Linked DNA regions of Macaca mulatta. The protein of the gene in region 1 interacts with the protein of each later gene in a pairwise test. Links are inferred from orthologs where the notes say so. Each region holds a gene or a part of one and is shown on either strand. Other genes may lie near its edges. The genes, in order: PAK1 and RHOJ.

Region 1 (3,665 bases):
GGCGGATCACTTGAGTCTAGGAGTTCGAGACCAGCCTGGCCAACATGGTGAAACCCTGTCTCTACTAAAAATACAAAAAGTAGCCGAGTGTAGTGGTGGGCACCTGTAATCCCAGCTACTTGCGAGGCTGAGGCAGGAGAATCGCTTGAAGCCAGGAGGTGGAGGTTACAGTGAGCCAAGATCTTGCCACTACACTCCAGCCTGGGCGACAGAGCGAGACTCTGTCTCAAAAAAAAAAAAAAAATAATAATAATAATAATAATAAACCCTTAGGTCTGTAACATATTTCGTAAGTTTACAAAGTACTTTCAAATACACTATCTTATTTTTACAGATATGTGAGATGGGCATTATCATCATCCTTACTTTACAGATAGGGAAGTTGCACATAGTCTCATGGCCTTTAAATGTTCAGCCTGATCCTTAGGTCATACTCTTTCCAGTATATATACACAGCTGCTACTTTGCATCCTAGAGCATAAAGCAGCTGACCATATTTCTAGAATGTGTATATGGAGAACAAGAGAGAGCCTCAGTTGGAGTTCAAGGTGATTCACCATTTTTATTGCCAGGCCTTGTACCTCATTGCCACCAATGGGACCCCAGAACTTCAGAACCCAGAGAAGCTGTCAGCTATCTTCCGGGACTTTCTGAACCGCTGTCTTGAGATGGATGTGGAGAAGAGAGGTTCAGCTAAAGAGCTGCTGCAGGTAACTGTCCCTGTGCAGGGAAGCACCTAATTCAGGGAATCACTAAACCAGGCCTTTTTTACTTCATGTTTGTCTGTAAGGTACTGGATATTATAGAACTAGGCTTCTCTTTTACCATTTCCTACCCTCACTCTGTTCCTACTGCTCTAACTTTTATCCCTGGGGCTTTGCTTATTTATTTTCTTAGCCTCTTTCTTGGCCTGTTAAAACTCTACACATTCTCCTAGGCTCAGTTTACAATCATTTTCTGAGCACCTATTGAGCTTTGCTTGTAGCTTGCTTCCTTCCTTCCTTCCTTCCTTCCTTCCTTCCTTCCTTCCTTCCTTCCTTCCTTCCTTCCTCCCTCCCTCCCTCGCTCCCTCCCTCCCTCCCTCCCATCCTCCCTTCCTCCCTCCCTCCCTTCCTCCCTTCCTCCCTTCCTCCCTCCTTCCTTTTCCTTTCCTTTCTTTCCTTTCTTTCTTTTCTTCTTCCTTTCCCTTTCTTTTCTTTCCTTTTCCTTCCTTTCCCTTTCCTTCCTTCCTTCCTTTCCTTTCCTTTCCTTTCCTTTCCTTTCCTTTCCTTTCCTTTCCTTTCCTTTCCTTTCCTTTCCTTTCCTTTCCTTTCCTCTCCCTCTCCCTCCCCCTCCCCCTCCCCTTTCCCTTCCCCCCTCCCTTACTCTCACCTCCCCACAGGGTCTCACTCTGTCACCCGGGCAGGAGTGTACAATGGTGTGATTTTGTCTCACTGCAGTTTTCCTCTCCTGGGTTCACTCAAGTGATCTTCCCACCTCAGCCTCCCAAGTAGCTGGGACTACAGGTACATGCCACCATACCGGGCTAATTTTTTAAAAAGTTTTTTGTAGAGACGCGGTTTTGCTGTGTTAGCTAGGCTGGTCTCAAATTCCTGGGTTCAAGCGATGTGACCACCTCGGTTTCCCAAAGTGCTGGGACTACAGTTATGAGCCACCATGCCCGGCCTGCTTGTATCTTTCATTAGCACATCCTTTGTTCTGTTTGAATTAGTCTGGCAGAGTTTGTTTGAGTCTTGTTGAGAAATGGCTCTCTGACATCCAAATCTTACGCAAGTTATATTTTTGCTGGGATTAGCTCAAAGGATACATTTTTAGCAAAGGAACATACGTTTATTTTATTTTATTTATGTTTTATTTTTTGAGACAGGATCTCTGTCTGTTGCCCAGGCTGGAGTGCAGTGGTGCAGTCATGGCTCACTGCAGCCCCAGCCTCCCCAGGTTCTGCTGATCCTCCCACTTTAGCCTCCAGAGTAGGTGGGACTACAAGCGTGCACCACCATACCTGCCTAATTTTTATATTTTCTGTAAAGACAGGGTTTTGCCATGTTGCTCAGGCTGGGCTCAAACGATCTGCCCGCTATAGCCTCCCAAAGTGTGGAATTACAGGCATGGCATGAGCCACCATGCCCATCCATGGAACATAAGTTTAGAAGATAATTAGTGAGTATGGCTTTTGGAGTCTATACTTTCTTCACTGGAAATCCTCAGATAATGGCAATGATACTCTACTTGTTGAGAGTGAGATTTTGCCAGTTTGTGGAGAAACCCGGAGTCAGGGGTTTACCAGGCCTTTTATACTCCCACCCCCCTAATCCTGATAATTTTACATGGTTGAAAAAATTGCCTTTAGCAGGCCACGTCATTTGTATTTAACATATTTGTTTCCAGTACAATTTCTTATAACAAGTGTTCTTTTATTGTATTGCCCACTAGTGATTTAATAGTAAGTATCATGTGCAACTTTATGAAGGCATGCACTGTCATTTATTTTCGTATTATAAAGCCCAGGAGTGACAGAGCAGGGCAGGGCAGGGCAGGACCTAGCATACTGCCCTGTGTTAATTATGAATCTTTCCTACTGGATTATAACCTCTATTTTATTAATCCCTGAGTTTCTTGTTTTACCTAGAACCTGACTTAGGATAGGTACTCAAAAAATATTTATTGAATTGAATGAAATTGCTGGAAGAACCTACATTGGAATATCATCCTCTGGAACATATTTATCATCTCTTTGTAATTGAGGTTACTGATTATGGAGTACTGGCCTATTAGATATGAGATCTGGGTTCTGCCAAGTGTAACCCATTAGTCTCTAGTATCTGTTGGGACTAAAAGTCTCTTAGTACAATGTAGGACCCCTTTTGCTGTTCATGAGAGTTGTATTCTGCAAACTGTAGGCACTGGGAAATGTGTAAATACGATATGCTAAGCCTATGATTAGTAAAGATACCATTCTTAATTAAGTACCAAACTATAGTTCTTGAAAGGTTAGTGCCCTCTAAAGTTTTCTTCCTGATACAGTAATATAACTAGTAATAAATGCATTATATTGAATCTTTACCATATTTTAGGCACTAAACACTTTATATATTTAGGCACTAATAAGCACTTTATATATTGTCCTTCACAACAACTCTATGAGTTATAGGTTCTGTTATTCTCATTTTTACAGATGAGGAAACTGAGGTTTCAAGTATTTAGTAACTTTTCCATGATAGCTGATATGTGGCAGATCCAGGATTTCAGCCTGTTTGGCTCCGAAGTGTGTATGCTCTTGGCCACTGCTCTTACAGGCTCAAAGAGTATCACAACTGGAAAGCCCTTAGGGCTCATCTAGTCTGTTTTGTTTATTAGACAGAGAAGGAAACTGAGGCCTTCCAGTTCGGTGTTGGATCATGCTGCTCTCAACTTAGGGGAATTGTAGAAACATGTGATCTGAGAAAGCTGGCTTTTTAACTTGTTCGTGTACATTGTAAATATTGAAAACCATGACTTTGAGAATCGTAAATCATAAAAGCTTCACATCTGTTTCTCCTGTGAGAACACACTTATGGACAGAAATACATAGGATGATATATATTGGAATTCCTATCTTCATGATTTAGCTAGGATCTTTTATTCCTTTCATAGTAATAGTACCTTCTTGTTCTCAGTAGCTCTTT
Region 2 (3,921 bases), on another chromosome or scaffold:
AAAAAACAAAGACAAAAAACTTCTCAAACAATTGGATAATCTGAATTCTTCAAAATCAATGTTCGAAAACTGAAAGTGAAAAAAACAGAGTTCCCTCATTTTGACCCATTTGTCAAAAATCATTTGCAGACTTCCACTTCTTTTCTAAGACCAAGCACATTAATCAAATACAGAGCTTCAAAGGGGCTTCATTTTGAGTGACGGAACAGACAAATAAATTAGCTGCCCATGGCTCCTTTGTAATTGAAGAGGACCAGTCTGACCCAAGGGGAGAAGACTAAATCAAAAAGCAAAACATCCAAGTAAAAACAACATCGAGGGCCTTAAACAAACCAAAAAGCCATCCTATACCCTCTCGTGTCCAAGGGTGTTATGTATGAGCCAAGCACGTGTGTGTTCATCCACTATATAAGAGAATGCAAACATCCCACATGTGATTGATTTCTTATGTGCTACCATCATAAAAATAAGTTTGTGTCTGGAATACATATTCCAGACATGTGGCAGTTTATAAACCTGATCATGCATGTTACACCTACAACTTACAAACATTTTTCTCTTTGAAATGATGTGACTCTAGAAGGTTTTCTTCTTTATTTCTGGGAAGAATCGCTTCAAGTTTCTCATTTAAGTAAGTAAAGAACTGCTCGTTTTTAGTTTGAAGAGCTTTTAACTAGTGACTCAGTGAAGAGTGATGTCATATGTTATCCTAGGACTGCTGGTGTGGTTCTCTCTGCTCATTCTAACCATTCCCCCTGTTTCTGTGGCAGGCAGTAATCCCCGGTTTCCATCCTCTAGTCAGCTTCTTCCCAGCCAGCCATAAGCGAACAGCCTCACAAGCAGCGGATGAAACAGGAAGTCTGACAGCTTGAGTCTGCAGTGGGACCCCTAGTGTTTTCCCACTCCATGTCCTGGCATCGTTCCCCAGAAGTACAAACACACACACACACAGAGCTCCCATTGTTGCAGCCTTCCTCAGCCCACTGATCCTAATATGGAATGCAGCAGGAAACCCATGATTTCCTGACACTCGGCAAGCTGGAGGAAGCAAGGGGAAAAAACTCCATTAAAAAGCCCAGCTTTCCTCCATGTTAGATGTGACTTGGAAAATGAGAAAGATTTAGCAAAATTCCACCGTGTCTTTTGCCAGGCTGGAGACAGGGAGAGCAGAGTAAAACCCTCAGGCTGCTGAAATTTCTAGGCTGTGAGGAAGCCCCTCAAATTCTGTGAAAATAAGGGTTTCTTAACTCACACTGAGAACGGAAAGGGGCAGACCCTTTTCATAACTCCCCCAAGTGTGTGTTACCTTTCTTTACCAGCATGGTAAGCAACAGGGCATATCCCAGCCTCGGACATGTCTGTATGATCCAAGGTACCCAAAGTCAGACAGAGTAAATTCAAGCCTGGCACTGGCTTTCCGCCGCTTCATGTGCTTTGGAAGAAGCAGGAGAAGCAACAGCAGCAGCAGGAGTCCCCAGCAGCTGGAGCCGCAAGAATGAACTGCAAAGAGGGAACTGACGGCAGCTGCGGCTGCAGGGGCAACGACGAGAAGAAGATGTTGAAGTGTGTAGTGGTGGGGGACGGTGCCGTGGGGAAAACCTGCCTGCTGATGAGCTACGCCAACGATGCCTTCCCAGAGGAATACGTGCCCACTGTGTTTGACCACTATGCAGGTAAGAAAAAGTGGGAAACTCTCTGCATCCAGATAAACGATGCAGGAGGCGATACCTTAAGTTCAGAGGGGCCTGGCTCATTTCTAATGTCAGTATTGGGTGCGGGCCTGGCAGTAACCAGGGAGTTTAGCATAGTGTACAACCCAGGACTTGACTGTTGGTAGAACAATTTGTGCATCAATTTGTATGGTAACACTTTTTCTCCCTTAAAGCGAATGGGTAACGGCAGGAAAATACTCTGACGTGCCTTCTAGATTTGGGGGACAGAGATTTTACTCAACATTTGCCTTAAGATTCATTAAAGTTTTACTATGAACATTTTTAAATGCAGTGTAATTGCATCACAATTCTTTTCTGCCAAAAAAAGAACCACCACTAGACACACAAATGGTAAAAGGATTGTTCTTGCCGCTCTTTGCGTATTCACCTCATGCCATTTACAAATGAAAATGCTAAGATTAAGAAAACATTCATTTTTTCTAAAACAGTTGGTGCTGTAATACTATAGTTTTATTTTCCTGGGGTTGTAGATTGGGGGAGAGTTTTTAAAAGGTTCTAAATATGTATTAGGCAATCTGTATCTTAAAAGAAAAATGTTTAATTAACATGTTTTTAAAAGTAAAAATACAAATAAAATCTGAATTATTTTAAAGTATGTCCTGAAAGGACAAAATGCACATAAAATATTTTAAAGCATGGCAGTTAAGACACTGTAGTCACAACTTGCTGGGGACTTTTTATTTTTTGAGTGTTCTAAAGTTTGTAGGTGTACTTGTCTGGGTGATAGTATTATCTAAATTTTTCCATTTTGATTCTGACTTTTTCTCTTAATTTCCAAAACAAATTTTATTAAGTTTATCAAAAGCAAGTTAATGAAATTTTTCAAGCTTATAGTAGCTTACATTTTATAACTTTTTAATCATAACGATCTTTATCAGAGATCTGAGACCTTGTGAATGGAAAATTTCTCCTCCTTCATTTTGGCTTTGGGTCAGGTTCAGCAAAGGGGAAATGGCCCACAGGAAACCAGCATGAGTGTCTGCTTGGCAATGTGGCCATTTGAAATCCTCCTTCTATAGAAAGTAGCTTCTTTTCCAGAACTAAGCCATCACCTAAGTCACTGCTTCCCCCAACACTTATATGATGTATGAAAATATTACACAGCAGACAGGGAGAGAACCACAGTGAATACAGTATCCATCTCCCAGCAGGTTTTTCTATATTTGTAGAAATTAAGAGCAAATTTTAATGCTGGCTCACTTAAGCCTTTCTGAAAATATAATGACTCTGCCCAGAGAAGAACATTTTAATGAGAACAGAATAAAGAGAAGAACAGGTTGACTTTCATCTTGAGAAAAAAACTAATTATAAAATTTGAGGGTCTGCGCCTTGAGAAAGTTCCTCAGATTCTTGTCCTGAAAGCATCTTAGCAAAAGTTATTTATTCTACACCTTCTTTCTGCCAAAAAAGGGAAAGTGGCTACCTTATTTCAGAAACTTTTAAATCAAAGGTAGAACTCAAAATCTAAAGGGAGAGGCTTCAAATGCTTATGAAAATTATGTATCCAAATCCCCATGTATTCGGGGAGCCAGTTACAGTATGGTATCAGGAAAAAGGAGAATCAAGTCAGCTATAAAAAAAACCACACTAGAAATCAAACAAAGGCTGAACCACAGCTAGATTCCACTAGGCTCCAATAATTTTATATTTTAATTATGTACATACTTACTATTGTTGAGCATTAAAGAATCTTAAAGATTTTGGCTAGTCTATTATTTTAGCTCCCAAGAAATCACAGCCACTATACTCAGAGCAATACTTTGCACATAGTAAGCATTCCTAAACATGGTTACTTTGATGTACACTTTGTACCTCAAGTGTGTAATCATCTCATGTGCTTTCAGTAAGGTTAAAAAGAGAATGAAGACATGAGCCACATACATCTAGGACTGTAATGAAGTCGTCTTTTTTTTTTTTTTTTTTTTTTTTTTTTTTTTTTTTTGAGACAGAGTCTTGCTCTGTCACCCAGGCTGGAGTACAGTGACGTGATCTTGGCTCACTGCAACTTCCACCTTCCAGGTTCAAGCGATTCTCCTGCCTCAGCCTCCCGAGTAGCTGGGATTGCAGGCACGCACCACCATGCCTGGCTAATTTTTGTATTTTTAGTAGAGATGGGGTTTCACCATGCTAACCAGCCTGGTCTCAAACTCCTGATCTCGTGTTCCACCTGCCTCAGTCTCCTAACGTG

Evidence for each region.
Region 2: the proteins of PAK1 (region 1) and RHOJ interact in binary tests that used the Homo sapiens proteins (3 or more experiments, as listed by UniProt). The link is inferred for Macaca mulatta from reciprocal best matches to the Homo sapiens genes PAK1 and RHOJ.

The regions. Positions count from the first base shown.
Region 1 is NC_133419.1:77,745,017-77,748,681, reverse strand, and holds part of PAK1 (serine/threonine-protein kinase PAK 1), read left to right. Parts: intron 1-572; coding exon 573-710; intron 711-1,439; coding exon of another isoform or gene 1,440-1,493; exon of another isoform or gene 1,494-1,505; intron 1,506-3,665. UniProt on the Homo sapiens protein: Protein kinase involved in intracellular signaling pathways downstream of integrins and receptor-type kinases that plays an important role in cytoskeleton dynamics, in cell adhesion, migration, proliferation, apoptosis, mitosis, and in vesicle-mediated transport processes.
Region 2 is NC_133412.1:136,279,887-136,283,807, forward strand, and holds the start of RHOJ (rho-related GTP-binding protein RhoJ), read left to right. Parts: upstream 1-1,085; 5' UTR 1,086-1,495; coding exon 1,496-1,673; intron 1,674-3,921.